Elephas maximus indicus: one gene and its partners. The protein of the gene in region 1 binds, or shares a complex with, the protein of each later gene. Links are inferred from orthologs where the notes say so. Each region holds a gene or a part of one and is shown in the gene's direction. Other genes may lie near its edges.

The links. The genes of interacting proteins can lie anywhere in the genome.
Region 2: the proteins of ELMO1 (region 1) and RHOG are in contact, whole or in part, in a crystal structure (PDB 7Y4A), measured with the Homo sapiens proteins. The link is inferred for Elephas maximus indicus from reciprocal best matches to the Homo sapiens genes ELMO1 and RHOG. Residues at the interface, in NP_001193409.1 of Homo sapiens: Lys9, Val10, Ala11, Glu13, Tyr18, Pro19, Leu21, Met22, Ala54, Asn71, Gly72, Ile74; in NP_001656.2 of Homo sapiens: Val36, Phe37, Asp38, Trp56, Tyr64, Arg66, Leu67, Leu70, Ser71, Pro73, Gln74.
Region 3: the proteins of ELMO1 (region 1) and DOCK5 are in contact, whole or in part, in a cryo-EM structure (PDB 8JHK), measured with the Homo sapiens proteins. The link is inferred for Elephas maximus indicus from reciprocal best matches to the Homo sapiens genes ELMO1 and DOCK5. Residues at the interface, in NP_001193409.1 of Homo sapiens: Ile7, Val8, Lys9, Ala11, Tyr18, Pro19, Leu21, Glu23, Glu36, Asp39, Gly40, Ser42, Asn71, Gly72, Gln392, Asp393, Leu400, Glu401, Lys468, Arg531, Glu535, Leu536, Lys539, Leu547, Gln550, Gln551, Asn554, Arg555, Asn582, Thr688; in NP_079216.4 of Homo sapiens: Met1, Ala2, Arg3, Trp4, Val14, Ala15, Ile16, Tyr17, Asn18, Ser22, Gln23, Gln30, Ile31, Gly32, Asp33, Thr34, Glu39, Tyr41, Gly43, Trp44, Arg46, Tyr48, Lys56, Ile58, Pro60, Glu61, Thr62, Tyr63, His65, Leu66.

The regions. Positions count from the first base shown.
Region 1 is NC_064826.1:99,220,247-99,225,345, reverse strand, and holds the start of ELMO1 (engulfment and cell motility protein 1), read left to right. Parts: upstream 1-1,746; 5' UTR 1,747-2,128; exon of another isoform or gene 2,129-2,311; intron 2,312-5,099. UniProt on the Homo sapiens protein: Involved in cytoskeletal rearrangements required for phagocytosis of apoptotic cells and cell motility. Acts in association with DOCK1 and CRK. Was initially proposed to be required in complex with DOCK1 to activate Rac Rho small GTPases.
Region 2 is NC_064825.1:53,151,279-53,156,377, reverse strand, and holds the start of RHOG (rho-related GTP-binding protein RhoG), read left to right. Parts: upstream 1-1,460; 5' UTR 1,461-1,564; intron 1,565-5,099.
Region 3 is NC_064840.1:48,551,954-48,557,052, reverse strand, and holds the start of DOCK5 (dedicator of cytokinesis protein 5), read left to right. Parts: upstream 1-1,943; 5' UTR 1,944-2,161; coding exon 2,162-2,204; intron 2,205-5,099. UniProt on the Homo sapiens protein: Guanine nucleotide exchange factor (GEF) for Rho and Rac. GEF proteins activate small GTPases by exchanging bound GDP for free GTP. Along with DOCK1, mediates CRK/CRKL regulation of epithelial and endothelial cell spreading and migration on type IV collagen.

The DNA.
Region 1 (5,099 bases):
ATGTGACTTACTCCATGTGGACTTCAGAGGGTAGAGCTCGGTCGAAGGTTACAGGGAGGTGATTGCACTTTAATTGCAGTGCAAAGATAGGACATAGAGTTGCGTATCTCTTCGGGACAGATATGACAGGTATCATTGCTGAGTGCTCGCCATGTCTCACTAAGACCTTTTCTGCCTTAGCTGGAAAGTCGTGGATCAAATTCACACTTATAACTAACTACAACTGTCTCACAGTTTTATTACCGGACCTCCGGGTCTCGATGGCCCTGACACTTAGGCAGGAGTCAGGCGAAAGTGAAAGAAGAAAAACTTTTTTTGGTTGGCCAAGCAAAGGAGCTCCCTGGGACCTGCGTCGCCAAGATGGCCCTTTGATTGGCAGGCACAAGGGTTTACATACTGGGAGGAAACAGACTAGGAGCGGGCTCTTCTTCAGGGCGTCATAGGGTTGGCGCAATCACACTGGGAGGAGAAATGGTGGGTTAGCTCCGCCCAGCCGCCATCCGGTGGTTTCCCACCTCTGCTTCATTAGTCAAGGCTATATTTACCGACTGCTTATTAAAAATCATCTCATTTAACAGTTGTCTTGTTGGCTGTTGTTATTACATCACTGACATTTTACAGATGAGGAAAAAGAGAAGTTACTTTCCAAGAGTCACCATGCTTTAAATCACTGACTTGTAACCATCTAGACCCAGGTTTTCTTGCTATTAATACTGCCTCCCAGGGTTTGTGCATTTAATAAGGGGTTCATCACTACCTGGAGACTATATACGTATATATAGGAGACAGGGTTGGTGATTTGCTTCCAAAAGGACACAGCCTTGAAACCCTGTGAAGCAATTCTAGCCTGCACACATAGGGTCATCATGAATCAGAATCAACAGGAACTATCAAAAACATATAAGATATTAACTCAATACATCTAAAAAATTATTTCAACATGCAATCAATATAAAAATTATTGGCCAGCTGTTTTACACTTGATTTTTTCACACTAAGTCCTGTGTGCGGTTTACCCTTAAAGAGCATCTCAGAACTAGCCATGTTTCAAGTGCCCCACAGTCACATGTAGTTCCTGGCTTCTAGTAGACAGCCAGCACAGGGTTAACTATTAAATTTCTTGGGGGACAGAGGCTGATTCTTAAAGGGGAGCGCTCTCCATCTTAGATTCTGGAACCTTCCTAGGGGCAACTTGTTCCCTTGTCAGTCAGAAAGGAGAGCAAAGCAACTGCCTTCGCCTTTTCTGGGAAAGCCAATGTAGGTATTTCTGAATTCTGTGAGGACAGGTGTTTCTTTCAGTCTTCCAACAACTGTCATTTCCCTCCTGCCAGCTATGCTGGGAGTTAAGGTCCTTGATTTTGCTTTGAACATGACTGAAGTAGGTTGCATGAATTAAATAATGTGTCTTAAATACCACATTGGGGTAGAAAGCCTGGATTTTATGCAGTTATGCAAAACTAGGGAGCCCCTGGCTTAATTGATTAGAACTAAATCTTTAGTTTCAAGTACAGAGTCGGTATGGATGGGTGACCGGGGAGAGGGAGGAAGGAAATGTTCTGTTTGTTCTGTTGTTTTTTGCCACGCTCTCCAAGGGTAGAGACATGGCGTGCAATAAGACACAGCAGTCCCTTTTAAAGTAGCTTTGAAACGGCCCAGCGAAGTTCCCCCTTAAATCCCCAAAACCAGTTGCCAAAAATGAAAACAGATTAAAAGATGCCGCGCGTACTGGGCCTCCCGGAGGTGGCGCTTTGAAGGTGACGGAGTTAATTAGTGCCTGCAAAAGTCGGTGTGTGAGCTCATCTGAGAATCATGCTCTGCACACGTATTATTTATAGCAGATCTGAGCCACGCACGGTGTTTGACATTTTCCTCTTTTTAAGTAAGGGGACTTCTAAAAGTCGTGGGCACCACCCCAGGAAAAGTGCAGAGGGCAAGCACCAGAGCGCGGGCAGGTGCCAGTGCCGGCGGCGGTGGCGGCGGCAACTCCGCAGCGTCCGCTCGGGAAGAGAGTTCGTAGCTGATGTCCGGATGCCTTGCAGATGCAAAATGTGTCTCTGGCCACCAGGAGGAAGGAAGAGGAAGTGAGAGCAGCGGCAGCCGGCGGCACAGCAGCCGGCCGACCCGGAGTGTAAGTGCGTGTGCTCGAGCGAGCGAGAGCGGGCGAGAATGGGCACGGGATAGAGACAGAGCCACCCACACACCGCGGCCCCGAGCTGGGCGTCAGAGTCTCCGGCCCCCCTTCGCGGGTCGCCAGGGCTCTCGTCGTTGGAAGCCCTCGCCGCCGCCACAGCTGTCCTGAGACCCCGGGCAGGTTCGTAAAGTTTCCTGGGCTGGCGCCGAGCACCGACTCGTTGACCTCAGAGCAGCCGGGGAGGGGGCAGGGGCTAGGGCAGGGAGGAGGCGTCCTACTCCGGGGACTCTGGGCGCCGCCGAGACACTTTTGTTTCCTCTCTAGGGGCGCCGCGGCTCGGGCGGGGGTGGCCGCCACGCACCGCGGGGTGAGGGCTGCGGGAGAGCCGGATCGCTCCGCAATTGGGGAAGTCTGGGCAGCTGAGGGCGGCTGGTGTGGGAGTGGGCACGGAGGGAGAGGGCTCCGGAGGTGGAGCGCCCGGGATGGAGCGCAGGGCCCGGGGCCCAAGAATCCGCGGAGACGTTTCGAGCAGGGCAGGCTAGAGGGGGGCGCCGGCGGGTTGCGCTACTGGCGCAGGGGTGTCGGGGCCAGGGGGCTTGGAGTAAAGATTCCTGGGACTGGAGACCCGGGAGACTGCTGGAGGTGGGGCTGGAGGCTCGGACTCCTGGTTTTTCTCCGGCGCTCGCAGATGGGAGGGAATCCCCCGGCGAGCGCGCCCCTGGGAGGGGGCGGTGTTGGGATAGAGGGAATGGAGGGGCGGAGGGGGCTGTTAAGGCAGTTGCGAGCCCTAGGGCGATTGCTAGTAAATACTTGCCCCGGGGACACTCTGAGGTCTCCACGGGGACCAGAGAAGGCGATGTGGGGGCCTTCGATGAGAAATCCTGGCTTTGGAGAGGGGTCGCACCGGGCGCGCCTTGGGAGACAGGGGGCGGCGGAGCGCTGGGAGCCCTGGAATAGGAGTGGAGAGGGGCGGCCGCGACTGCCTGAGTAGGTTTGAGGAAGAGGAAGAGGAAATACAGAACTCAGTTGGCCTGGGGGTGCGCGCGTGTGTTCGTGGTTGGGAAGTCTGTGTTGTGCTGCGGGCGCGCGCGAGGGCGGCGAGCGTGTGTGTGTGTGTGTGTGTGTGTGTGTGTGTGTCTGTGCCTGTACGTGTGTGACCCCGCCGAATGACCATCTCCCGCTTGTGGACGCTTTGAAGTTGGCAGCTCTGGGCAGCGGTTGTTGGTGGCTTGAGCTGCAGTGGCCTGAAGCAGCAGGATTTGGCCCCCTGTGGTGACCCAGCTCTGGGGGGCCTCTGGACAGCTCCTGAGACACAGGAAGCATATGTTGTGATGCCCTGTGTACTGGACCACCGACCTTATCATACTTCTGGTCATGAATTATGTGCTAAGATTTCAGGGAGCTTCAGACAGGGGTTTGTGCCTCTGGAGGCAAAGGCTGTCTGCCCCCAATTTGGAGTGAGATGAGGCAGTGGAAGAATTTTTGAGATTTTGTTTTGTTTTACCTTATTCTGTAAAATATAAGTAATGGCATGCATTTATATACCAGATCTTTGAGTGCAACTTTGGGAGTCCCTGTCACAGTAATTTTTAAATTGCAAAGGCAGGCTGGCAGCATCTATGAAGGGCCTTCTCTGGCCAGGGCTTTTCTTAATATCTCACCTCCATACCTACTTCTCAAGGTTGTTTCATGGATTGTAGTCTCCCAATTTACAGATGAGGGGCTGAGGTCCAAAGAAGTAGGAGGCAAGATACCCAGCTGGCAAATAGACATTTTTTGATAGCCGACCTTTTGACTCTCTGCTCTTCATGATGTCTTTCCTATCTCTTGATGGCTCTGGTTAAATGTGCATGTTGCCTTCTTTCCTACTACAATTATTGCTCAATTTCTTTGTTAATCAGATGAACTGGTTGTCCCTTTGGGAGATTGGGAGGGAATGACCTGGAGTGCTGGAACACCCCAGCGGGGGAACTGGGGAACAAGATGCTTGATAGTTCTACAGAGAGGGGCAGGCTGGGAGGCAAGTCCAGGCTGAGTCTAGGTAAACCCAGGACCTGGAACAGTCAGTCACTGGGGTAATGGATGAGTGATACTAATGATGACCATACCCTCCCCACCCCACTGTCATTCCCAGGTCATCTCTCTGCCCTTGTTAATTGCAGACACTCTGACCTTATTTTTTTTTTGCTGAGTTCTGTCCCCAGGGCCTTTGCACATGCTGTTGCTTCTGTATGAGGAAATCCCCCCTCCTCCTTTGCTTCCTCCAGGTCTTTGCTTAGTCAACTTATCAGGAGGCCTTTCCTGGCTATCTTATATAGAATGGCAACCAGGCAATTAATTCCTCATCCCCTTACTTTATTTTCCATCTTAGCACTTATTTTCCCCTGACTTACATTTGTTTGTTCATTTGATTGTTTTCTGTTTCCTCCACTAGAATGTAAGCACCATGAGGATAGGGACCTTGTCTTGTTTGCAGCTCCAGAACCTAGAGTGACCCCCAGCATGTGGTAGGCACTCAGTAAGTATTTATTGATTGACCGAATGAGAGATATCTATATTAGGAAATAACCATCAGCACCATCAGTGGCAAGTAGATGCCCAGGCACTAGGCTTTGGCTTTTCTCCCTGTCCTCTCCCCCAGGCCCAGCCATGTTTGTTTCTGATCTCTTTCTGCCTGAGTAGATTTCTTCAGAATTTCAGACTGAGGACGGAGAGGTGATTCCTCAGGAGAGTCGAACTCAAGTCTCCTTTATAAATAACGTGTGACCACTCCAGATCTGGCATTTTATCACACTCCTTGGAGAAAGACTTTTCAAAGCGTGGGCTGTTTTAGCCAATGAAATAATTGCCTAGGAAGAATTCCTGCTCTATGAACAGAGTGGAGTCAGATCCACCCGCGGTATCACATGCCACAAGCCCAGAAGATGAACAGGAAAGTAGAGATGAGGAGGTGGTGAGGAAGGCAAGG
Region 2 (5,099 bases), on another chromosome or scaffold:
TTGTACACAAACTCAGCAGCTGCTTTTTTTTTTTGTCATTGTCATCATTAGAAAATTTTGAATTACAAATGTGGCTTGCATTCTATTTCTTTTGGACAGCACTGGGAGAGTCAAACGCATGGCAGGGGTGGTTGGGGTATGTGTGTGCTGGAGGGAGGAAAGATGAAGCCAGGCAGGGAGTAGTTTAGTACAGCCAGATTGTGAAAGAATAAGCCGATCTCCCCTGGCCGACTACACAGAAAAGAAGTCAGAGGGAACAGAATGCGCAAAGATCCAAAGATGTGGGCAAGCCCGCTGTGTTTTGAGAACTCATAGTATGACATAAAAAGAAAAAATAAAGAAGCATTTATTGAGTGTTTACTTTGAGCCAGGCACTGACAGTAGGCCTTTTACATCTATTATTTTATCTTTACAACTAACGGGCGAAGGGGACCGTATTCTATTTTACCAAAGAAAGAACTGAGGCTCAGAAAGGTCGAGCTATTTATTCCCGGAGCTCACCCTTTTTTATGTGGAAAACCTCTTGAAGACAGGGCGCCTCTACGGTCTTAAACGCCTGTGAGTTTCTAGAGCACCCAGCATGGGGTTCTGCACGTGGTTGGCGCTGGAAAGTTTGATTTGAACCAAGAATATCAGCTCCAAAGTCAGAGTTCCGTGCAAGGCGTCGGAGCAAAAACACCAGAGGGCGCCCACGAGTCCGCCAGTCCCCCGGGCCCGGACCCCGACCTCCGGCCGCGACCCCGCGGCCTGGGTGCGGCCCTTCAGCCTCTAGCAGCTGCGCGCCCCGGCGGGAAGATGGAGCGCGGGGAGCCCCACGTCCTCTGCCCGCCCCGCCCCCTCCCCAGGGCCCGGCTGAGCCACCGGGTGCGGAACGACGACACGACATCCTGTTTTTGGGCCCGCGGCTCCGCCTGCGCCTCTGCTGATCTTGTCTTTCCCCGTGTGCTGACGCCAGCTCCCCTTCCCCCAGTCTCCGCAACCCCCCCCCACAAAGGGTCTGGGGCCTTCCCACTACTGAATCATCACCACCCCGCAATCCCCCGGGGCTCGGGGCAAAGGTGGGGACTGCCCCAGCGTAACCTATTCTGCCCATTCCCCAGCTGCGGCCATTGCCCGGTCCCTGGGTTTGGCAGAAGTCACCAGGCCTAGGGGCGCCTTTTCTCAGCATCTTCCCGCAACGGGTGGAAGGGACGAGATACAGGCGTGGGGGACAAATGCCTAGCGCCTAGGCTTAGGCCTCTGATGGGACCGGAGCCAAGGAGGAGGCTAGAAGGCCTGACCTTGGCAGGCTTGACTTAAAAGACTCCGGCCAGTGGGCTGAAGGCGGGGAGCCTCGGACCGGGGCGGGGGCGAGGCCGTGGGTGGGGGGCAAGGCTGGGAGAGGGTGAGGCGGTGAGGGCGGGTCGCGGACTTCCTGGTCGTGCCCCGCGCTCCGCCCCCGCGCCCCGCCCCGCCGGCTGGCCCGCCCCCCCCACTTCCTCCGGCCTCCCGCTCTCACTTCCTTCTTGAGCCCGGAGCCGCTGCCGCCGCCTCCCCAGCTCCCCCGCGGTGGGGAGGGCAACAGGTAAGGCTGGGCCCGGGCCGGCGGACTGGGGGACCGGGGGAGGGGAGCCCGGCCAGCGCGGGACGGGGCGCAGGCGCCGGCCCAGGAAGTTTGCTTGCGGGAGGCCGCGGGCGGGAGGTTCTTGGTTCGCTCCAAGTTGGGCGGGCGCGGCCGGTCGGGCGGGGCGGAGACCGGGCCACTGCGAGCCAGCGGCGGCTCGGTCAGAGTGGATTCCCGGCAGCTGTACCGGCTCTCGGGAGCCGGGAGAACCCCCTTAGGCCAGCGTGTCTCTGGCTCAGGGAGGACAGCCTCTGAAGTGGAAGTGCTCAGAGCTAGGATGTGGAACTCAGAGGTGGGGGTGCCCACAGAAGTTGTCGGTGGAGGGCGGTGACCAAGTGTGTGAGGGGAGAGAGTCTCGGGCAATTGTGACATTTGTGAGGTTGAGAGGGGGTAGGTGTCTGGGGCCTGCGAACCCTGGAGACTGCACAGAAAGAGGTCCCGCCCTGGGAGAACGAGGTCACCCCATACCCACACTCTGCAACCAAAAGGACCCGGAGGGAACCCCGCCGACCCCAGTCCTTCTCTCTGTGTGTCTGTTTCTCTGAAGCCCAACCTCCCCATCCCTGGACCCAAGCAACAGGTATTCAGTGAGCAGACATCTGCAGTGCCCAGCTGACCAGTGTCTGGCCTTGCTCTGTGGTGGGTAAACTGAGGAAGGAAAAGGCCTGGTCTTGTCCTGTGGCTGGAGGTGAAAGGACTCTCATTCAGAGATACTGAGAGTTGGACAAGATGGCATAACTGAGATCAGGTCTGTTTTCAGGAAATGGAGAAAATAGGGCTTCTGAGAGGCATCAGGGTCTCTGGCCTTCTGGGAACAATTGGTAGCCATCTACTAGTCTTCCCCCCCCCGCCCCCGCCATTCTTAGTCCCTGAATTCTACCCACTTTCTCATTCTGTCTCCCTCCATCCCTCCTTTAGTCTCCACCCACAAACTGGCCATCACTATCTCCTCTCCTCCCCTCTCCTTCTGTCTTCTTTCCCCCGATCACAGCCCTGACCTCTCCTTAACTACTCTAACCTGCTGTCCATCTCAGTCTCCTGCTGCATCCCCCCCCTCCTTTCGCTATCCGGCTTCTGGCTCCCCACCATCTTGTTCCTTCCATCTCCTCTCATTCTCATAATCTCTCAGTTTGTCACCCTCTCTCTGTCACCTTCCCTTTCACCCACTTCTCTCCAGCTTTGGGGTCAGGATCTACTGTAGAAGACTTGGTGAGTTTGAGAGCCTTTTTGAACCTCCCAGAGACATGCTGCAACCTCTCGGTGATGGAGATGATTAAAGGGCTGGAAAATGTCTGTGTGTGTGTGTGTGTGTGCGCACATGTGCAAGTGTCTCTGTGTCCATATCTTTAACTGGAGACAGCCAAATAACTGCTCTCAGCCTTGAGAGGCCCCAGAGCAGGGGAAGCCAGCAGAATGAAGGGAACCTGCAGTGGATGAGTTGTGGTTAGGCAGGAGGAAGCAGTCCATAGCAGTCAGGGTACAGTAACACAGGAATAAGACTGGTGAGAGAGGCCACAGGAAATCAGAGTCGTCCAGACCCTTGACTGCTTAACCAAGAAGCCAGTCCTGAAGGCTGGGGGACAGTGAGTGGCCTTAGGAGATGAGTCCCTGGCTTCAGCACCTCCTGGTGGGAAGAATAGGATCAGGCCACCTAGGTGCAGTGGAAGAGAGCAAAGGCAGCTGATTTAACTTCAGTCTTAGGTGTTTTCATTTCAGTTCAGGAGAAGAAGATGGGTATGAGGCAAAAGTGTCTGCCCCTCTTCCCTCCTACCTTCCAGAGGCCATCCAGACTGGGCCTTGGTGACCGGGAAGCCCTCTGGAGTTCAGCTCTTGATGCCTTTAGCCATTCTTAATATTCCCTCTATCACCTAGGACCCTACTCCCTCTCTTTTGTGAATTTCTTCCAAGTCTAATTTTAGCCTAGCCTGGCTCTATAAGCTCTTTTTGTTTCCATTCTAGAGCTCCTTTCTCAGGCCTTTGGGATGTATGCTAAGGGTTCCTGCTTCTCTCAAGCTCCTCCAGTCTGCTCTACTCCTATCCGCTAGAAAAAAGAGAAGTAGAGGGGAGCAGGCACTACTTTTTTGGGTTCCCAGGCACAGATAAATGTAAGGCTCTCCCCATTCCTTATCCCATTCTCTTCCCTTCTCACAGTTGTCCCTTTCCCATGAGTTGTTCCTTCTTCCAGTCCTGCTCTTCCACCTACCTGTCTCTCCTACTCTCATTTCTGGGAGGTGCAGGGAGTTTGGCCCCAGGAGGAAATCCCAGGGAGGGGCTAGCCTTGCATAAAATTCCAGCCCTGGGAAGGATGTGCATGAAAGACACTTTCTCGACATCAGGATTCAGTTTAAAAAAAAAAAACTACCCAAGAGTTGTGACACACACGAGTTCAGCATTTTACATAATTGAGCAACTCATGGGACTCTGAGGGTGAAGATAGAATGGATGAGTTCTCCCAGTCAAGATCTGGCAGTACTAGAGGATTGTTAATTGCAAGAAAATCATTACTGGAAAAATACAACAGGGATGAGGAGAATCTAATTGGGAAAATATCATGGGGGAGTCGGGGGGAGCGTTGCCTACAACCTAGGAGATAGCTGTTGAGGTCTTGACTAAAGAAATACTGTCAAGGTCATGGCATGAAAAGAAATGGCTGATGTGAAGTTGTTACAGATCCTGATTGGGAATCTGGGACAACAGGGGTTGCTTCTGGCAAAGTGTTAGGGCAGAAGCGGCTGGTGTAAACTTTTAGGGGCTTATGAGCCAGAAGGTATAAGAGGTTGTAGTAGCTGGGGTACTGGGAAGCAGAGGGAACCCTGACAGTGAATTCAGCTTAATGAGGTAGGAACAACTCCAAAAAGGAGGGTGAGAATGGTTGCACATCTCAAGGAATGTAATCAGTGTCATTAAATAGAAGCTGTTGAATTGGTATATGTTTTGCTGTGTATATTCTCAACAACAGCAATGAAATAGAATTTAAAAAAGAAAACCCCATGGAGCACAGTTCCGCTTTGACACACATGGGGTCACCATGAGTTGGAATTAACTGAATGGCGACTAGTTTTTTTTTTGAACATTTTATTGTAGTTTGGGTGAGAGTTTACAAAGGAAATTAGTTTCCCATTCAACAGTTTTTACACGTTTTGTGACATTAATTGCAATCCCCACTTTACCCGCTTCCACCCTGAGTTCCCCGTTTGCATTTACCCATCTTTCCTGCCCCTTCCTACCTTCTGAACTTTGTGTTTGGGCAAATGCTGCCCTTTTGGTCTGGTGTGGTTGATTGTTCTGAGGAGCATGTTCCTCACAAGCGTTATTATTCATTTTATAGGCCTGTATATTGAGTGGGTTCTGTTCCAGGTTTGAAGGGTGTCTTAGAGCCAGTCTCAGGGCTTCTCCCAGTCTCTATCAGACTAGTAAGTCTGGCCTTTTTATGATTTTGAATTTTGTTCTACATTTTTCTCCCACTCTGTCTAGGACCTTCTGTTGTGATCCTGAT
Region 3 (5,099 bases), on another chromosome or scaffold:
TCTCACCACACCGAATCCCTGGCTATCTTTGGAAATTGCTGAACACGCATCAGGGCCTTTATATTTGTTATCCCCACTGTCCGTAATTCTTTCCCCTGAAGTCCTCACTTCTTCAGGTCTATACTTCAATGTCATCTTAGAGACGCCTTCCCAGATCACTCTATATAGGATAGCAGCACGCCCTACACATTCCATCTGCCTTGCTTTGGATTTTTCTCCATAGACCTTATCACTACCTGGTATATATTTGTTGTCTCACTCTTCAGTTCTAGAATGTAAGCTCTATGATGGCAGGGATTTTACTTTATTCACTGACGTACCCCCATTCTTAAAACAATGCCTGGTATCTAGCAGGCACTTAATAAACATTAGTGGAAGGGACGAATGAAGAAATGAATTCTTTAACCTGGGAAATCAGGTTACTCATGTTATCATTGATAGAGGAAAAGAAATTTTATTTTCAGGGAGATGGAATACCTTTTGGATGTCAAGCCTGAATGACAGGGGAATCTCTTATATTAAGTTTCTGATTCTATTTTGTGAATAAATACTTGTTGGGTGATGCAGAAGAAAGTAAGCCCTGAGAACTACCCACCTTAAACAGGGTTTTTTTTTTAGACCTGGCTTTGCAGAAAGTTATCAGAATTATAATGCACTTATTCTTCAAACAAGTTTTTACTATATTTCGCTGCATGATTATTTTATCTTTCTTTCCTTTCATGCTCAAACACGGAAGAAAACCTTCACAGACTGCAAGGGTAATGCAATTTCTTTCAAAAGGCATTTTCTCAGATGGTGAACATAATTAAGCTTGTCATTTACTCTGTTTGAGATTATACTTCCACCGCGTGAGATAGCAAGAAGCCCCCTGAACTCCTGTGCCTTCATTTGCTGAAGTCTCTCCCAGTGAGTTTCAAAAAGGGGAGTTCCAGAGAGGGCTCCAATTGGAACCCGAGGCAGTTCAAATGCGCAGTCCCAGTTTTCGATTTCTTGTCAATACAGTCAGTGAACCAGAAAAAGACATCAATGTGCCCGGTCCCTTTCTCCGCAGGGATGCTCTCTGGACTGCTGGCTCCCAGGAAAAGGGAGTCTTGGGGCAGATCCTTTTTTCCCTGAGCAAGAGTGAATGAATTTCTTCAGCTGGAGAGGTATTCCGGCGTTTTACGGGATACAGGACTTAGAAACTACGGCTTTCTAAATAATTCCCCCACAGAGGACCCATCAGGAAACTATTTGATACTAATGAGGAGCCCGTCTCCCTCGCACCAGCTCTCTACTTACCAGAAGACAAATGTCCCAGCTTTGAGAGGCTATAAACGGTGGCCACAGGAGATAATGTCTGCCCCGGAGTCCGGCTGGCTTCCGGCTCGCGTGGTGTCTGTTAAAGCTCTAGGGGATGAACGCAGTAGTCAACTGCTCATTTATTCAACAAATATTTATTGAGCGCCGGGCAAGTGCCAAGCGCCAAGCACTGGGGAGTTCCCTCCGGGGCGAGACACAACCTCTATTAATTCATTCTGTTCCCCGCCCCCGCCCGCCCCAAAAGGCTCCGGAGCGCACAGTGGGCGCAGACTCCCACTCCTCGCCCACCGGTGCCCCGCAGCCCGGCCCGAGTGTGCTGGGCGCCTCCAGCGGGGAACTCGCCCCACCGGATCCAGTCTCTTGGGTTTAATCCGGTGTGGGGAAGGCGGGGGGAAAAAAAAAAAAAGAAAAAAGCCATACCCCAGAGTCAGCCCTGGGAAACTGCTCCCAGAAAGCGCGCAGGGCCGAACGAGCACGCCCGGCGTGGGCGAGCCGGGAGTCCCTGAGCCGGCGGGCAGGCTGCCTCGGGAGCTAAGGGCGCGGCGCGGGGTGGGGCGGCGGGCAGGAGGAGCCGGGGCGGTGCCTCGAGGGCGCAGGGCGGCGCGGCCGCCCGGCCCAGCAGGTGACCGCGGGCGGCGCGGGCGCGGGCGCGGGCCGGGTGGGACCGGCGGCGGAGCGGGTCCAGTCTCGGCGCGGGCGGCGCGCAGAGCCGCGGAAGACGGCTTGCAGGGGTCGCAGCGAAGTTTGACGGAACATGGCGGAAGAGCCCGGGGCGCGGAGCAGCGCGGGGCGGCGGCGGCCGGCGCCGGAGGAGCTGTAGCCGCCGCAACCGGTGCCGCCGCGGGGCGAGGTCGCCGCCATGGCCCGCTGGATCCCGACCAAGAGGCAGAAATACGGAGTTGGTGAGTGCTCGGCCTACCCCGCCCCCCGACCCGGCCAGCTTCGCAGGTCTGCAGCGGTCGCTGCAAAGTTCGCGGGGACTGGCCCTGCCCGCGGGCGAGTCGGGCGGTGGAGTCCGGCGATTTGCAGAGCGCGCCGCCGGCGCCGTGCCGGGCCCCGGGCTCGGGATCTGCGGCCCTCGCGGGTGCCTGCGGGGCTGAACTCGGGCTGCCGCCGTTACTGGGAGCGGGGCGGGCTCGGGGCCCTCTCCCGGGAGGGGTCAGTTGCCGCCCCGGTGGGGAAGTAACTCGGAGTTTTTGGAACCTGAGCGGCTAAATGTGCATTTGGGCTTCGGGACTGATAATCCGCTCCCAAATAAGATTTATCGTGTTGCATAGTAGACGCGTCAAAAGTGAGGGAACCCGCCTGCTATTCATTTGGGAAGCCCAGCTCTGTTGCTCCCCTCCTTCCGCCCATCCGTTTGGTTTCATTCAATGTTTGTAAGCAGCCGAGGTCCGCCGAATGGGAATGCTAGTCGTTTCCCAGTGCTTTCCGACTTCCTTCTTCATAGGTTCCTCTCGGAGGCCTCAAAGTGAGACTGGAGGATAGAAACACGCCTCCTCCCCTTCCCCCGCTTTTCCCTGGGACAGAGTGCTGAGCACTGGAATCTTGCTAACAGTCTGTAAGCTGAGTGGAAAACTGAATTTGTGGTTTGAAGCGATGAGAGGAAGTGTGTGGCTTGGGAAGGGGTGGCTGGCCTCTGGGGCCGTTTGTGCAGACACTCCTCCCCTAACGGAGCTTGTGTGGAGACGGTATAAAGTGGTCTTCAGAATCCTCTTTTTCATCGTGGGGTAAGATGAGGAAAGTTTATTCAGAAAACTCTGTGACAGGTCCGGAGCTAGGCACTTGGCATTCCTAATGGCGGTGCTGGAGAGCCCTAGCATGTGCGGAGGGATTCCTGTTGTGTTGGTTTGGCACAGGGACAAATGGCTTTGCAGGCTTCTGACGCAGGTGAAAAGCCATGCTCCTTCCCCTTTTTAAGTAGACCCGGTGGCGCAGCGGTTAAGCGTTGGGCTGGTAACCAAAAGATCAACAGTTGGAACCCACGAGTCGCTCCGCGGAAGAAAGTTGTGGCAGTGGGATTCTGCTTCCTTAAAGATTACACCCTTGGAAGCCCTATGGGACAGTTCTACCCTGTCGTATACCGTCGCAATGAGTCCAGTTGACTCGACGACGGGTTTGGTTTTTGGTTTTCCACCTTTTTTTTTTTTTTTTAAATCAAAGAGATGCTTTGTTGAGGTCTTGTGGGGGGAACTGTGCCATTAGCGGGGGAGATTGCAATGGCAGTGATAGAGGTCAGAGTGATTCCCTAATATAAACATAGCTGTGTATGTTGAGAATTTTATTACTTCCTCTCATGTTCATTCTTTTGGCCTATTTGTAATTTCTTTTACTTCATTCTGTCTCTAACCCCCATTTTTCCTGGAATATCTAGGGAGGAGCCCCTAAACCAATTCTGAGCTTTTCCACATCTAAGTTTATTTCAGAGATAACTCTTAAGATCTCTAGGTGATTTGAGCTCTGTAGCCATTAAAGGGAGCCCCTGGGTAGTGCCCATGGTTAGCTAGGCTACTAACTGAAAGGTTGGAGGTTCAAGTCCACCCAGAGTCTCCTCAGAAGAAAGGCCTGGCGATCTACTTCCAAAAAACCAGCCATTGAAAACTCTATGGAGCACAGTTTTACTCTGACACACATGGGGTCTCCCTGAGTCAGAAAACTGATAATCACTAAGTACGAATTGCAGAAAAGTTATCAAATCTAAGTTTTGTTTAACTGAATAAAAACTGTGTTCAAAAGTATTATGACTTGGGCACAATTAATGTAAATGTATCCCCAAAATGTGGTTGGTTGTATTGCCATAGTCATAGGAGCAAGTACGATAGTTTTTCTTTTTAACTTTTTTTTTTCCTTTCCTGGAGTTAGTTTTCCATGTTATTTATCATTAGTCAAGAAAAATATTTCAGTAGCCTTTTCAGGACATAGGTGGTAGCACAGTTGCCCCAGGATGTAATTTGGGACACATTTAGCAAAACATAAAGATTCTGATCCTTTACATTTGGTACAAGGGCCAACACTTAGGACAGATTAACTCAAGAGATAAATCTTCATTGTTTATTCCTAAAACACATGATTGTTCATATCACCTCTCTGCTCAGAAGCTTTCCATGCCCTACAGGGTAAAGTCTAAACTGAGCCCAAGTTCCAGTGTTCCAACAGGTCTGATTCAACATATCATCACCATCCTTATCTCCCATGGCTTCTTACGTTAAGCCTCCAATGCAGACAAACTGCTCTTCTCACTCTTGTGCAATACATCACGGAGAGTCCCTCCTTCAGGACTTTGCTCTGACAGTGCTTGTTCCCTGCCCAGAATGCCCTCCCACCTCTGCACCCCACAGTGCAGCCTTCCCATAGCGCTCAAATCTGTTCCCACTGCCTCCCCCAAATTTGCTGTCTGCCACAGCTTCCCAAACCTCCACACCTCTTCTTTACAATCCTGCGTTACTCCATACCTTATTTTGTGCTGATCCTCCTGTATTTGGGTTCTCAAAATCAGAAGGTGATGGTTGTGTCCCTGTCACTCAGGAGGTATACAGGGTGTATAGTGTACATTCAGTAACTGCTTGTCCTTGATGTTGGAGTGGCTTTTTAGAGTAGATGACATAATTTCTGTGGTGAATTAAATGCAGTTTTTCCCCCTCATTCACCCCGATATGAGTTTTATTTTGTTCAGCTAGATGGAGGAAGTGAGAGGCTCCAGCCTGTTTTTATCTCTACAAGTAAAAAATGAGATATTCTGCCTGAGAAAATAAGGACATGTGGAATAAATGGGCTCATTTACATATAATTGGGAAAAT